3 linked regions of the Caenorhabditis elegans genome follow. The protein of the gene in region 1 purifies or fractionates together with the protein of each later gene. This does not show direct contact. Each region holds a gene or a part of one and is shown on either strand. Other genes may lie near its edges.

Region 1 (5,781 bases):
GTTTTCCGAGTAAAATGTCGCTGGTTCAAACCTACGCGGCCCCCATTATCTTTCCATCAAATGATTTAGGACGTCATTGGTGGCTTAGAATGGGGAAAATTGAATCGGTAGAATGTGATTTGTGAGTTGTTCACTGACACGTGGCAACTCGTATTCGCTACTTCCTACATTTTCATAATTAGTCAGTTTTCATTGGATTTCTGTTATTTTTTGGTTAGATCTTCAAAAAGTTATCATTTTATTCTAAATATTAATTAGAATTTTTTCTTCATAAAAAGAATTCCTAAAAACAACGAAAAATTCTCAATTTTTCTGGAAAAATTTGATTTTTAAAATTCCTAAAAACACCCAGAAAATAGGAATTTAAATTTTAAACTCATAAAACACCGAAAAAACATTTTTAAAAAACCCTAAAACCGACAATAAAAGTTTTTTCAAAAGCCTCGAAAAGCACCGAAAAATATTCCAATTTTTTAAAATAAAAAAAACTTTCTACATTTTCATAATTGGCCAGTTTTCATTGAATTTCTCCTATTTTTTGATCAGAGCTTCAAAAATTTGGCTTTTTTTCAGAAGATTAATTTTAAAAAATTTCTTTCATTAAAAAATTCCTAAAAATCACGAAAAACGGGATTTCATGTTTAAAAAAAAACGAAAAATGCTCGATTTTTCTAGAAAAATTGGGTTCAAAAATTTCTATAAACAGCCACAAAAAATAGGAATTTAAAAAATCTAAAAACCTCTAAAACACCGAAAAATTGTTTTTTAAGCCTAAAAACCCCAAAAAAATATCCCATTTTTTCTGGAAAAAAAAGCTCAGATTTTTAAAAAACGCACATGATCCTTTTGTTTCTTAACCCGATGCCTCAAATGTTTTCTCTCATCCTGACTTCCATAATACGTGAGCAATTGGATACTCGGACACCATTTATGAAATTCTCCAATCCAATTCTCAATAGTCGATGATGGTACAACAATCAAATGAGGTCCAGTTTTTCCGATTTGTTTCAAATATGAAAGGAATGCAACAATTTGAATAGTCTTTCCAAGACCCATTTCGTCTCCGAGAATTGCATTTAAATCCTTATTATACATCATAATAAGCCATTTAACACCGATAAGTTGATAATCATGAAGTGTACATCCTTCTTTGAGTAGCGGAAGTTGTAGAGGTCCTTCTGTACATCTTTCAAAATCTTTGGTTACTGTATGTGCGTGATCTTTACAATCATCCAAAATTCTCGATAAAATTCCACGTTTTTCCAGAAATTCCATATAAGCTTCAATTGCATTTGTACCACGTGTAACTCCTTTCATCTTGGCAACCATAGCTCCGTAGATCTCGAATGGGCGATTTGCGAGAACGAAATCTGCGATTTTATCGTTGATTCGAGCCTGTTGAAGGAGATCCTCTTTTTTTGCTTTATTAAAGAATTCTCGACATTCTTTTTGGTTTTTTGTTTCACCACGTTTCGCGCGACGCTCCTCTATCTGGAAATATTCGAAAAATTGATCAATTTACGCAAGATATTCAAATTTGCGAATGAATATTTTAAATAACGAAATTTCTATTCAATTTTCTCTAAATTTTGAAGTTTTTTGTAAAATTGAATAGTGAGAAATCGATGTTTTCAAATTTTTCAACTCTCAACTTTTCTCGGAAAAAAAGTAAATTGTTCATAGTCTTGAAATTTTGGTGAATCAATTTTAGAACAAACTTTCAAAAATTCTTCGGAATTTCCAATTTTCTAGCTTTAAAAAAACTAATTTTCCAGAAATTTCCGCTAGTTTTGAGCTAAATTCTGCAAAAATTGGAGTTTTCTAATTTTTCTAAAAGTATTTTTGATTTAAAATAACATGAAAAATGGAACTTTTGACCAATTTCCAGCTACGTGCATAATTCTTCGGAATTTCCCATTTTCTAGCTCTTGGAAAATCAAATTTCTAGGAAATTTTTGTTAGTTTTGAACTAAATTCTTCAAAAAATGGAATTTCCTCTGATTTTTATGATTTTTTCTTGAAAAATGTAATTATTCTTCGAAATATATTTTTTGGCTCGAAAATAATTTGTTTTTTTTTTGAAAATTTCGTTAATTCCGAGCTAAATACTTCGAAAAAATGAAATTTTCTCTGATTTTCAAGTTTAAAAAACTCCTAGCTCGAGAAAAATCGAATTTTCCTGATTTTTTTTGCGTTTTTTCAATAAAAAACGAAAAAATTGAATTTTTGAGCAATTTCTGCTTAGATCGTTGTCATCATAAGGTTCTACAATTTTATTTCTATAGATCTCCGTTAATTTCAGTCTAAATAATTCAAAAATTGCTATTTTCATATTTTTTCTGGCAAAAAAATCGAATTTCTATGAAATTTTCGATAGTTTTTTTCGAGCAAAATCGTTCGAATATTGCCATTTTTCACGATATTTTTAGCGATTTCTACATACATCACTGTCATCAGAAGGTGTCTCATCACCATCTGCATTCATATCATCTTCATCTTCTTCCCAATCTTCATCAGATTCTGCTTTCTTTTTCTGTTCCTTTTGAGCCTTTGCCATTGCCGCTTTCAGACTTTGTCCCTGTTTCATTGTAACCTCTTCAGTCTCTGAATCCTTTCCAGATCCTTCTGATTCCTCTTTTTCTGATCCTTTTCCTGATCCTTTCTCTGATATTTCTTCATCATTGATAAAATCATCTTCACTTTCATCGTCAATTACAATTTTTCTCTTCGAGGCGGCCGATCTTTTTGCCATTTGAGTTCTCATTACATTTCCAATTGGAGATTCTGAACCATTTAGCCGTGGTTTTGTCATCCATTCATCGTCACTGGAATCCGATAGTGTTCGGATTCGTTTCCTGAAATAATTTTTGCATTTTTTTTCATTTTCAGCATAAAATTTAATCGAAAATTCGTTTTTGAGACATTTTTGAATTTCTGTAAAGTCAAAAGTTCAATTTTTCAGTGAAAATTCGGAGAGTTCTTATCAATTCAGTTTATTTTTTTCGTTAAAAAACCCTAAAATGTAAAAACCAGTTTTTTCCAAATTTTCAGCGGCTGGCTTGTTCTTTTGTTTATTTTAGGTGGAAAAATATCGCAAATTCCGCTCTTACATCTCTGGCTCGGGTGTCTCAGAATCCTCGCGTCGGTAGTTTTCTCGAGGATATACCAATTTCTTCCTGGAAAAAAATCAATTTTATCTCAATTTTCCCGCCAAAAATCGATCACGCCTACTTTGACGGAGCTTTACGCTTTCTTGGACCTTCTTCTTCATAATCATCATCATCCTCGTCTTCTTCATTATTATCGAAATCTTCTTCATCTTCACTAGGCATCGTCTCATCCACGTAATCCTCATCGTCATCGTCGCTGCCCTTCTGCTTTTTTGGTTTTTTCTCTGAAAAATAGGAAAATAACAATGAATTCCTCTTTAAAATCATGAAAATCCACGTACCACCGTATTTGATTCCGGGACCGGTTGTCCTTGGAGGCCTAGCTGTCAAGTGGCCGTTATTCTGCAAAAATATCGGTTTTTAGGCTATAAATTCGGAAAATTTACCAGATTTTGAGACAAAAGCGCCTTTTTGGCGTCCATATCGGCTTGTAAGCTAGAGGATTGTGGGTTGCCTTGATGTGCAACACGCACCCGTTCTCCGGTTTGAAAATCGCTCGTCGTTGACATTGATCCTAGAATTTGGGATTTTTAGGGGAAATTAATGGTGGATAAGAGGGAAATTATGATAAATAGCTGGGGAAATTGATAAATAAAAGGAAATTTCAAAGAAAACCCAAAAAAATCAATGAAAAATGAGGGAATTTCGAATAAATCCTATGCCGCCACAGTAGACGAAATTAAAATGCAGTGGTACGCAAACACCGAACCTTACGACAAATTCGGCGGTACGCAAACACCGCAAGCAGAATTTAAATTTAATTTAATATAAATTGCATTTTTTCCGAGGCCCCACGAAAAGGGGAGCAGAACGAAAAGGGGATCTGCAAAAAGGGGATCTGCGAAAAGGGGAGCAACGAAAAGGGGAAACGCACAAAACGCAATTTTTCTCACGCAGCGCACGTTGATTTTTGAAATTTTCTTCTAGAAGATACGCTTAACAACACGCGACGCGTAACATCGGAGCATCGTTGTATCGTTTTCTTCGAGAAAAATAGCGTTTGGCACAGTGCCAGATCCCCTTTTCGTTGCTCCCCTTTTCGTATCTCCCCTTTTCGTATCTCCCCTTTTCGCAGATCCCCTTTTTGCAGATCCCCTTTTCGTTCTGCTCCCCTTTTCGTGGAAATATCATGGAAAAAACGTGCGAGGCTTGCGAAAAAAGTGTGCGGTGGTTGCGAAATAGTCCCTGCCCCTACTCACGCGTGGCCACGTGGCACACGTAGCGATTGAAATAAACAAATTATAACTTAAATTAGTTTGTGAAATCGGTTTCTCTCCGACACACGCGTCACACAAAAATGCGTATTTTGCGTATTTTGTTTTCATTGGTAATCTTCGGATTAATAGTTCATGTATTAGTGAGTTTTTTAGACATCCTTCGATTTTTCTAGACCATAATGTTTCACCATTTTTCAGCCAACAACCACCACACCAAATGTGCCTGTTTCCGCCGCTACGAACACTTCAAACGTGACCGCTCCTGCCGGCAATTCGACAAAAAGTCCTAATGCGACCGCTCCTGCCGGTAATTCGACGAAAAATGTAAACGTGACCGCTCTTTCCGCCAATACGACGCAGCTTGCTCTTGTGAGCTCGGCGAGCCCTGAAACCTGCAAAAATGGAAACGGCACACACTGCCCGTCACGCACGATCAGTTTTCACAAGGACACGCCGAAGTACATCGGATGTGGCATCCTGATCGCCTTCGTCATTTTCCACATTTTTTTGTATTTCTACCTCGAGGATCAGAAGGCGAGGGTAAGTGAAATTTTGCCAGTGGCCTAGCTTTTTATTGATTTAAGTTATATTTAATGAAAAGCGAATTGCGTACTCCACGTGGACAACTTTCAACATACGAAACCTTCTTTTCAGGAGCAGAAGAAGTATTTTGAAGAGCTCATCGCTGAGCAGATGGCGGCTAGGAAGCGAGAAGAACAAGACGAAAAGCAGCACGAGGATGAGGAGATGCTGTGTCGTTTGCGAATTGGTGTCTCTAAGGACCGGAAGCGAGAAGAACAAGACGATCAGCAGCACGAGGATGAGGCGCCGGAAGCGGTCGTCACTGTGGACAAGCCACGCGATTGAAGTTCTTCTGAGCCCCCGACCGCCTCTCAACTTACTTTTGATTTTCCCCCGTTTTTAGGTCCTTTATTTTTCTATGGAGCCCCATTTCCCCTTTTCTATGCTCATCGTTCCCCACAATTGTATTATTTATGACCTCGTATAGTCCCATTCATTTTTCAAACTCCCCGTCCGTATTTATTTCCCCACACAATTTCACTTTTATTACTTTTCTCTGACAATAATTTTTTTTGTCAAATTTTGTTTCTCTTTCGACATCAAGGAACTTTCAGTTGAATGATTTAGTGGATTTAGTGATTTAGTGGGTTACTGTAGCTCTTAAAGGCGCACTCATTTTTTACTTCAGGTGTTATATTTTTTAATTCAGGTGTTTCTAGGAAGTCTGTTTGCCATCATATTTTATCAGATTTTTTTGGCCGAAAAATTTGTTAGTCGATGCACCATGAGTTATTCTCCTGAATTTTCGTCGTTTTGAAGGTTTTTTCGATGCACCATGAGCTTCTCAGTGTTTCTAACATATTTTTTATATA
Region 2 (4,543 bases), 4.1 Mb from region 1:
CCATGTGGAAGGAACACACTTCAATCACTTGGAGTCACTAGGAAAAAATGTACAGACATGGTTCCAACTTGTGATTCAGTTTGTGACAAATGGCTAACTTGTGGAACTCCTGGAAAGAATCATCATTGTCGAGAAAAGTGCCACGAAGGTCCTTGCCCTCCATGCAATCTCAATACATCCGTAATTTGTCGCTGTGGAACGTCTAAAGGCGTCATTCCATGTGACGAATATTTGCAAATAATGAAAACCAGTGAGTTTCAAATGTCTTCATTTGATCTATGACCAATATATTTTCAGCTGGTGAATATCTCTGCACAAAAAGATGTCGAAAAAAGAAGTCATGTGGAATGCACAAATGCCAAGAAGTTTGCTGTATTCAAGATGAACATTTTTGTCTGCAAATGTGCAACAAACGACTTTCTTGCGGAATTCACACATGTGAGAATGTATGTCACGCTGGACAATGCCGTCCGTGTCTGCAAGCCAGTTTTGATGAGCAATTTTGTCATTGTGGTCACACAGTTCGAATGCCTCCGATTCCATGTGGAGCTCGTCTACCAGTGTGCTCCCAACCATGTGTCCGTCCACACAGTTGTGATCATTCTGTCTCTCATAAGTGCCATGGTGAACAAAACTGTCCTCCATGCACACAGCTCACCGAAAAAATGTGTTATGGTGGACATAGAGTTCGCAAAAATATACCGTGTCATATCGACTCAGTTTCATGTGGCGTGGTTTGCAAAAAACCCCTCAAATGTGGAGTTCATGTGTGCCAAAGAACATGTCACGGTGAAGAATGTGAGAAAGAAGGGGAGAAATGCACGAAAAAATGTGAAACCATCCGAGAGCTTTGCGAACATCCTTGCGCACTTCCATGTCACGAAGATTCTCCGTGTGAGCCAAGCCCATGCAAAGCAAGTGTGAGAATTTCTTGTGAATGTGGACGAATTAAAAAGGACGCACCATGCTGTGAAGTTGATAAAATGATTCTATCAAAACTCGAAAAGGAAGAAGAAGAAAAATCTGAATCGGATGGTGAAGAGAAAGTGGTCAAAGAAGGAATTCTCAAGCGCTCAACAAGTTTTTCTCAACTTAACTGCATGAAATGTGATGACGAATGCAAGAAATTGGAAAGAAATCGAAAAGTTGCTGAAGCTCTTGAAGTTGATACAGATGAATATGGAATGAACAAACTCGCTCCAACTATTTCCTTCCCTTGTTATCTGAAAGAGATGGTTAGAACCAACATTGATTTCGTCAAATCTGTTGAAAAGATTCTCATTGATCTGGTTATTCAAATTCTAAGTGTAAGCTACCATTTGTTTAAAATTGTGGGCATACATATAGTTTTTTACAGGGTGAAGCCTACCACGACACTTTTCGAGCTCACCTGCCAGCAATGAGTATTGAGAAGAGAAGATTCGTGCATGAATACGCCAACTTTTTCAATATCGCCTCAGAAAGTGTAGACAGTCCACCAAAAAGAAGTATCGTTCTCACAGCAGTACGAGGAAAATCTCATCAGCCTCTCGTTCTCATTAGTGATCTTGTAAACTACAAAGGAGCTCTAAAGACGCCAGGACCTGCTGTTATTAGAAAAGATATAATGGATCAAGCTTTGAGTAAAAAAGAAGAAACAGAAGGTCTCATGAAACCATTAAGATGTACGGAAAAAATGGTAGTTCGGAGAGAAGCTCGTCCAATGAAGGTAAATATATAATTTTTGTCTGGCATTGTTCAGATTTCAATATTTTTATTTTCCAGGAAATAACTGCCCCAATCCCATTGAAACAACAAAACCAATTTGCTCTTTTGGGGAGCGATGTCGATTCGGACGATGAAGAAAGTAACGTTCCGACAACAAGTAATTTAGTATCTTCACCTCCAAAAGATTGGTGGAAAGACGAGGAAGAAGGGTGGCAAAAAGTGCAACAAAAAGAGTATGTTGTTGAAGTCGAACGCGATATGACCGAAGATGAGATTGAGGCGGCGAAAAAACTGGATGAAGGTCCCACATGGGAAGATCAATGTGACGAAGATGCACCAGCAACAGAAACCAGTTCAGCTATTGAATCTCCAGCGAAAGAGGAGCCGGTTGCTGAATTACTAGAATAAAACGTATTAGATTTTTTACATGCACTATCACATCAATTTTCGATGTTACTATTCATATCCTCAATTGTACGGTGTAACAGTTTGTTTCAAGTACATTTCCATTGTTTTGAATACTTTAAAATACGGTTTGCTTGTTTTAACTAATGAATAAATATTCTCTGGTGTTTATATTATTTTAATTGCGTTCCTGTGGCCCAGTTATTTCCTGTGAAAATATTTGTTTGAGACTTTAAATTTTAATTGAAAGATGAAAATAGAGAGAAGGCGCCTTAAGGCACGCGGGACTGACAAAGTGTGCAAACACCGCCACGCGAAGACGCACACTTTCGGTTCTTTCACAATTTTTTTGCCCGTTCTTCTCAATCAATTCTTGCTTCTTTTTCCTTTTATCGAAGTAATTCTCGTGTGAAAAACAACTCAAAAAATTCGAATTTTTCAGAAACTGGGTAAAAATGCAGTGCGACGATGTGACTTGGAACATTCTCAACAAGGGACAATGCGCCTACAAAGCGTGGACAAAGCCAAAAATGTTCTGTAAAAATGAAATGAATTTGACTGGTTTGTGCAACAGAGCTTCGTGTCCATTGGCTAACTCACAGTATGCAACAGTTCGTGAGGAGAACGGAGTATGTTACTTGTACGCAAAAGTTGTCGAACGATCTCACTATCCACGTCGTTTATGGGAAAAGACAAAGTTGTCAAAGGATATGAACAAAGCATTGGAACAAATCAGTGATCAACTTCTTCATTGGAGTGAATATGTTAGACACAAGTGCAAAGCTCGTCTCATCCGAATTCATCAATATTTGATCAGAATGCGTAAAATGGCAGTCCGTGGAAAGTAAGTTTAAACTTATAGAAACTGAATTTTGCATAGTATTATTTATTTTCAGCCAGAAGAAACTCATTCCAATTGGACGGAAAGTGGAAAGACGTGAGAAACGTCGTGAAGAGAAGGCACTTGTTGCAGCTAAACTTGATCACGCTATTGAGAAAGAGCTCTTAGCCAGACTTAAGTGAGTTGATATATTAGAAAGTGCACATTTTGAATGAAACAACTTTTAGACAAGGAACATATGGCGATGTTTACAACTTCCGTCAAGAGGCATTCGAACAAATGCTGGAAAACACTGAAAAAGAGTTGGAAGTGGAGCAAGAACTCGAGCAGGACGACGCAGACACGGGTGAGACTCAGTTCGTCGCTGACTTTGATAGTTCCGACGATGAGGATCAGGACATGGAAGACGGAGGTGATGGACATTGGTCACCAGGAGATACTGACAGTGAGAACGAGGATAATTGGCAGCCAGAACAAGAACAAGAGGATTCGGATGAAGATGATGAGGAAGGAGGTGATGAGCCAATGGAAATTGAGGAGCCACCAAAGAAGAAGGTAAAGAAGGAGCCGAAGAAAAAGACTGGGAAGAAAGCTGCTGATGGAAAGAAGAAGAAGCTCAAGAAACGAGCTCATGTTGAGATTGAATACGAAGAAGAAACGGAGCCACGACAAAGGGTCAAGGCATAAAACTTCGCATTCCATTTTGTCTGTTATCGTTATTTTTGTTCTTTTCTTTTATTCGCCCTCTTCCAATTGTGTTGTTGTTATTTGCTTTTTAATTTTTAACTCTTTTACCCAAAAATTCAAATGAAAATTGTTACTTTTCCTTGTTTACTAAAAATTAAACTGATTGGTTTTTTTTCCAATTTTATTTTATTGTTCCAATCACATATTTTTGTACTCTATAAAACCCATTGTTTTCAGAGAAGACCGGGAGGAAGCCATGGATTCGCCGGCGTGGATGTTCACGAAGGCGCTGAGCCATAGACAGAAGGTAATTTTTATTTTTGAAAAGCTTTAGTCGTTTGTGAAATTGGTAGCGTTGTTTTTTAATCTGATTGGAGATTTCGTCTGTTTAAAATGTAGCGAATTATTGCATTTTCAGGTCACCCGCCTCTACAAACGCTGTCTTCGCGAAGTTGACAACTGGTATGGAGGAAACAATCTGGAAGTTCGCTTCCAAAAGTGTATTATCCGTGCTCGATTCGACGCTAACGCTGATGAGGTTGACACCCGTAAGAGCCAGATCCTTCTTGCCGACGGATGCCGTCAATTGTGGGAGAAACGTCATTTCAAGCCTTTCCGTTTTGCTCTCGATCCAGGAGGTTCCAGTTATGATCGTGAACGCGAGTCGCCGGATGAGATTGTCGATTCGGATCAATGGACATTGGCTGAACGTGAACAGTTCCCCTACTACTTCAATACTCGTGAGCAGAGAAAGAAGGAGTTGCTGACTCACTGGGCCAAAATCGAAAAAGCTTGGGATGAGGAGATCGCGTCAATTCAAACCCAACTACCAGCTGCTGCCCCAACTGTTTCCAAATAGGCCACTATGAGGAAGTAATGCGATTGATTTTAAGTAGAACGAGC
Region 3 (5,708 bases), on another chromosome or scaffold:
ATTCGAATTAAATTCCCACAATTTTCAAATAAAAAACCGAGATGGGATACTGTGACACCACTAAACTCTAAATTGAGGAAAACAATTCGTGAACCTTTTTTTTTTGAAGATAACTAGAAAAGGTTGCGAATAAACGTATTAGGTGAAAAGAAACGGGATGAGCATATGGAGATGACCTTTATTGGGAATAGACACGGAGAACACCTTCTGTTGGGAACGCATTTGTGTGTGCTCTCCCAGACACTCCATAAGGTCAGCTGCATAACCCTAAATTGCATCGACAAATCTTAACAACTGCAACAGAAAAGCTACACTCAAAATATAAGACGGAAATTTTCTTTCAGCACGGCTTAGTTTGGACGAACAATTTGAAAGGAGTGTTCAAATTGCAACTGTTTGGAAACATAATAAAATCATTACGGAATTTATTTTTTTGGAAAATCAAAACAGGTGATAAAAGACGTTTCTGTAAATGAAAGTCACTAGTCTTTTCCACTAATCCGCCAATGTCTTTCATGGAAAATAAGACAAAAAAAAAGACAGCGTTAGAGAGAAATAGACGAAGAGAGCTCAAAGAGCTCGCTGGCTGCCCACGAACCTGCGGGTTAGCAATGGAAAATGTGGTCGTGGGCAGAGAGACGTAGGATAAATGTGGCAACCCAAGGCCATTTGTTGTCGGGCAGTCACCCGCTCTCAAGGACGCTGCAACGACCCAATGCTGTCACTTCAGAACACATCTCGAGGTCACCTGGCACTCAAAGATAGGCTCACATCGTATAGTTTATTCGCTAGTAAATGAGATGAAAAACATTGTACAAAATCAGCGATTGTGGATGTGAGACATGTGATAACTTTAGGCTCAAAAAAGGTTTTAATAATATTTAGGTTTTTTTAGATTTAAATGAAACAGTCGAGATCGGCACGATGTAATAAAAAACAGAACATTTAGTAGTCACTCATTTGTTGCATCTGCTCGATCATTTGCTTCAGATTTTCGATGTACTTGTCCTGATTGACATCATCCACACCATAGACAGTCATCTTCTGACGAACTTCTTCCTATAAAGAAAACAATCATAACGGATCTTCAAGAAATAAAGCTACATTGTACGAATCCATCTTGCAACGAAGTCTCCACATCTTTGGAACAAACTGAAGGCGTTCGAAAATAGCGTTGTACTCATCTGGGCTTTCATCGTGCAATTCTCCAAGCTCCGCAGCTGATTTTCCAACAATCTTCGCAGCACTATCTCCGAAAGCTGTGACATAGACCTGTCCGGTTTCGTCCGAAAGTTCAAACTGCATCATGTACAGCCACTTGAACTTGTTCATGTTCTTATTGCACTTTTCGCATCTGTAGTCACCATTTTCTCCCACAAGTTTCTTTTGGCAACCCTCTGAAGCGCATCCTCTATAAAGAGCATTCGTAGGATTTACTCTGGTAATCATTGCTTTGACAGTTGCGTAATCTCCCTTGTCGGAATCCTTTCCAAATTGCATTTCTTGGAGTCCTGCAATAGTACGTGGAGCTTCATTGGATCCTCCAGCAGCTTGGCTCATCATCTTAACTTCAGTGGTTGGTTTCACGTTTGCGTACCAATCATAGAGTTCAGACACTCCAGCGATTTCTGGCACCGAAATAATACGAGTTGCTGACCCAGTTCCCAAAGAGAATCCTCCATTAAACTCTCTTGGAATAACACCTTTGAATGCGATTACTTTTTGAACATAGTCATCAACAAGTGCTTTTGTTGCTTCGTCTCCCCAAAGTGTCAATCGAACAAGTGCTCCAGACTCGTCAATCAACTCCATTTCTCGCTTGATCAGAGATTTTCCAGCCTTTGAAGTGAATTCGGTAGCCTCTGGATCCATCTTTTCAACCACGACGAGAACGTCAATCAGTTGTCCAGCATATCCAGCGATTTCACCTAGCTTCACTCGTTTGAGTATGAGCTTTGGAGCAGCAAGCAATTCACCTCCAGCTTCAATCTGAAAATTTAATATTTTAGCTATGATGAATCGCTTTAAATTTACTAACGATAGAATCGCTGCGAAGTGTGATCTCGTAGTCGTGTCCAGTATTGTTGAACTTCTTATTTGCTTGTTTGACTGATCCACCAGACAAATAATAAGACTGAAAATATTAAATTAATTATTATGCATAATCCGATTAAAATAATACTAACAAGATTCTCGGTGATTGTGGTGTACAAGGACTCAGCAACCTCGTTGAATGCGGTACATCTGATTGTATCTCCGTTTGAATCGGTTATTTCAAAGTTGAACACTTTCGTGTTTTTCGCTGGGAAAGTACGAATTTCCTCCTTGCGTGATACCATTCCGTGAATTTTGAAATTCGATACGTACGGTGTAACCATTGCAATAGGCATCACGCCTCTTTCTGTGTTCGACGCGGTACGGCGTGCTGGTGGTGGAACAGCTCGAGCGCGTGTAGCCTCTGGAGCAGCGGCACGATTGTATGAGGCTTCTGAAAACTCGAATTACACACATTACAACTCTTAGATTTTACCTTCTCCGAATTCTCTTTTCGGCGCTTTTGCTGCTGGTGGATTTGCCATATTCTCCTGGTAATCAGCAGCCATTCCTTCAGCTTCAGGCCAAACATCTTCGATGATAATATTTGGTCTATAGCCTTTGTGCTCATCAGGTTTGCCAGAATGAGATCTTGGCTTGACTTCTGGAGAGGTCAAAACCTGATGATAGCGAGAAAGAATTTTGTATCCTTTGATCAGGAAGCAATTCTTAGCACCTTCTCTGAAAAATACATTGAAGGACTCAATAATGTTATAATCTCACCCTTGGTCGTAGATTTCAAATTTAGTAAGAGCGATAATTGTTCCCTCAACAAGATGCTCAACTTCACGTTTGATTTGGTCATCGATATCAGCGGACATGAGCGCATCTTCAAAGCATAAATAAATATCAGAGTATAACAAACTCACTTACTGTATTGGAAAACACCGTCTGAGATACGAATTCTGAAAGTGAATGCGTGACCAAGTTGCTCTCCTTGCTCTACTTTGCCTTTCTGAAAATTATCGAATTATTGCGAAACTTTTGAATTAGTCAAAAGTACCAAAACTTGAACGATTCCATCATGTCCAGGATATCCATTGTTTTCGATAGCCTCCTGAAAATTCATCAAAATTAAATTTCCTGGTTTTCTACATTGATTTCTTTACCTGAACATAGCCTGTTGTAAGTCGAAGTTTCCCGTTAGTATGATACTTATTGAAGACATCGTGATTGATGTGAATTGCCGCCATCTTTCACTATCTGAAACAGATACATAAAAATTGGGGAAAAAAGCTTGAAACATGAAGAAACAAATGAAGGGGAGACGATTCAATTTTGAATTCTCTACAGGCCGGATACGCGCCAAAAAAAATGGCGTAGAATGTGATGTTTGCGGGAAATGTGTGCCGAAAAGCGGGAATTTCTGTTAGTCAAAGAAAATCGAGCACAACTTGAATTAAAATATGAGAAAACAAATAAATATTAAAAAAAGGAATTGAGAAGTTTTAAAGATTACAATAATAATTGTTGAAATTTTGATGAAGGTTTTACATCGGCCAAAATCGCATGAATCGAAATTATGGCAGCGCAATATTGGAAGAGGGTTAAAATACTGAACAAAAACATTCTAAAAGTCAATACTTCGTCCAAACATGAAGATTTTCTGCAGGTTCTCAACAAAGCAATTCACATTTGAAAAAGAAAAAAATGAATGGCTCGGACCACCTGCGTAAATCTTGCCGGGTACGGTATTCGCTTCGAGACCTCCATCAAAACCGTAGTTTGGAAATTGTTTTTTCCCGCCGATCTAACTTTTCTATTGACGCGCTAAATTTTGAAATCAGAAAAGTCGCATAAAGAATTCGGATTTTGTTTTATTTTCATTTGTCAGTTTTGATAAATTTTCATTTTATAAATTATGTAAAGTTTCGGCTATATCAGTTACCCACTTCATTTCTACCTAGCTGTTCTTTTCCTTATATGACCTTCTTGAAAGCTTATAAAAGTTTTCGAAAGCTTTTAGACCACTTTCAAACTGCTTAATATCTAACCCCCATTTCGGAAAAAAAACTTCTACATAATTCCAGATGCGCCATCTCCATCTCGCCTTCTTCCTTCCCGCCATCTTTCTGTTCTTCTCGTGTGTAAATGGTGCCATCGAATCGGTACACGACGACAAAGATGTCGTGCCACACGAAGAACAAGGTAAAAAACTAGATTATTGTGTGCTTAAGATTAAAGTTTCACTTCAGCCCTCGACGTCGACACAATTTTCCGCGCTCTTGGAGTTCCATATTGCATGCGAAAGTGCATCGACCCGTTCATCAATTCTACGACGTCTCTGTGGAACATGAAGAATGTTGTACATCAAGCTCGCAAAGTCTGTGGTCATCATGCACAGGCTATCACTTGTCTGAAGAAAGAACAGTACTGTGATCACAACAAGCTCTTCGCAAAAGCCAGCAGCAGTGTTGAATATATGTGTGCCACAAAGCACGTTCTGTTTGAGCGAATGGAGTCGTGTCTCAACCCTGTCGTTGATGATATCATGTCAGGTAATTTTTTTTCTGAAAAATTGCCCACCATCAAAAAATCGTTTTCAGGCTGCGACAAAGAATGCTATGCTCGTTCAAACCTAACTGCTTTCGCTCAAGATTCTAACATTAAATTCGCTGCTACAGTTGGAGGTAATGTATTTATTGTTGCTGATCATCTTGGAGAACTTTGTAACTCTCTGCAATGTACTCTCCCATGTGTCACCAAGCGACTCAACAGCAAGTGTGCCTTGAGTGGATGGCTTAGTCTGGACATGCTTATGCAACCATTCGATGCCGTTTCTGTAATGGTTGATCAATTGTCACCAGCATTGAGGTTAGTTAGTGCGATCATTATTAAATATGCTATGTAACTAAACATTTCAGGGATGTCATCAGTAAGAAAATCGATAAAAGATGCCGTTTTGCAATTAACCCAACTCGTCTCAACCGCATTCGCAACGGCGATTTCAAGGCTTTTAACATGGATAACATTTGATCGCATCTCATTTCATGATTCCAGTACTCACTAAAACCCACGAATTGTAAATAATCACCCGACACAAATATGTTGATATATCGAATAAATAGTTGTAAACTGTAAACCGCTTTCAATAATCATTTTCTCAAACGCGGATGAAAGCCGAAAAAAATTCTCGTGACATTTTGTACAACTATCGAAGCTGAAATGGCCGAAATATCTGAATTTCGGCCGCGTGGTCGACAAAACAGCTGACAAGTTCAATTCATCGATCAATAATCGCATTTTGATGAGTCAATCTATTCCCTTCCATCGCTCTTCCATTGTGAACGCATTAAGTTAATGAGAGTGTAAGGATCGTGGAGACGGAGACGTAGAGACAGTTGTTAACCTACAGGAAAATTCTTTCGTTTGTTGCCTGTGTAAATACAGCAGTTTGCCTTGTTCTTTCCCTTCATTTATTTCAAGTTTTCCCTTCAAAAAGCTACTATTTCACAATCGATTTACACTTTCTCTAAGAAAACGACATAAATTGCAGAATTTTGTGTATAAATTTATCATATGGAAGCGGATGAATATTTTACCACATACGATGCGCTTAAAGACGTGAGTATCATTTCCTTTGTGTTCTTATCACATTGGCATCTTATCATTTA

What was found. Proteins that work in one complex are often made in the same cells at the same time.
Region 2: the proteins of smrd-1 (region 1) and C16A3.6 fractionate together in Caenorhabditis elegans (co-fractionation; one large-scale study listed by BioGRID). This does not show direct contact.
Region 3: the proteins of smrd-1 (region 1) and rpa-1 fractionate together in Caenorhabditis elegans (co-fractionation; one large-scale study listed by BioGRID). This does not show direct contact.

What each region holds. Positions count from the first base shown.
Region 1 is NC_003281.10:10,432,305-10,438,085, forward strand, and holds the start of smrd-1 (SWI/SNF-related matrix-associated actin-dependent regulator of chromatin subfamily A containing DEAD/H box 1 homolog), read right to left. Parts: upstream 3,685-5,781; 5' UTR 3,680-3,684; coding exon 3,557-3,679; intron 3,513-3,556; coding exon 3,452-3,512; intron 3,395-3,451; coding exon 3,232-3,394; intron 3,177-3,231; coding exon 3,111-3,176; intron 2,856-3,110; coding exon 2,444-2,855; intron 1,492-2,443; coding exon 838-1,491; intron 173-837; exon of another isoform or gene 39-172; intron 1-38. Other genes in the region: enu-3.1 (ENhancer of Uncoordination), read left to right, coding at 4,468-4,527, 4,586-4,927, 5,042-5,254.
Region 2 is NC_003281.10:6,376,895-6,381,437, forward strand, and holds C16A3.6 (Protein MAK16 homolog), read left to right. Parts: upstream 1-2,554; 5' UTR 2,555-2,567; coding exon 2,568-2,956; intron 2,957-3,008; coding exon 3,009-3,131; intron 3,132-3,180; coding exon 3,181-3,640; 3' UTR 3,641-3,775; downstream 3,776-4,543. Other genes in the region: nfx-1 (Transcriptional repressor NF-X1 homolog), read left to right, coding at 1-250, 298-1,307, 1,358-1,708, 1,765-2,115; C16A3.5 (NADH dehydrogenase [ubiquinone] 1 beta subcomplex subunit 9), read left to right, coding at 3,897-3,947, 4,059-4,499.
Region 3 is NC_003280.10:7,662,171-7,667,878, reverse strand, and holds rpa-1 (putative replication factor A 73 kDa subunit), read right to left. Parts: upstream 3,298-5,708; 5' UTR 3,288-3,297; coding exon 3,204-3,287; intron 3,152-3,203; coding exon 3,098-3,151; intron 3,050-3,097; coding exon 2,968-3,049; intron 2,924-2,967; coding exon 2,818-2,923; intron 2,776-2,817; coding exon 2,531-2,775; intron 2,489-2,530; coding exon 2,187-2,488; intron 2,135-2,186; coding exon 2,039-2,134; intron 1,990-2,038; coding exon 1,105-1,989; intron 1,060-1,104; coding exon 946-1,059; 3' UTR 769-945; downstream 1-768. Other genes in the region: F18A1.7 (Chondroitin proteoglycan 4 domain-containing protein), read left to right, coding at 4,125-4,242, 4,290-4,592, 4,641-4,908, 4,959-5,070; alfa-1 (ALS/FTD Associated gene homolog), read left to right, coding at 5,614-5,658. UniProt on the Caenorhabditis elegans protein: As part of the heterotrimeric replication protein A complex (RPA/RP-A), binds and stabilizes single-stranded DNA intermediates, that form during DNA replication or upon DNA stress.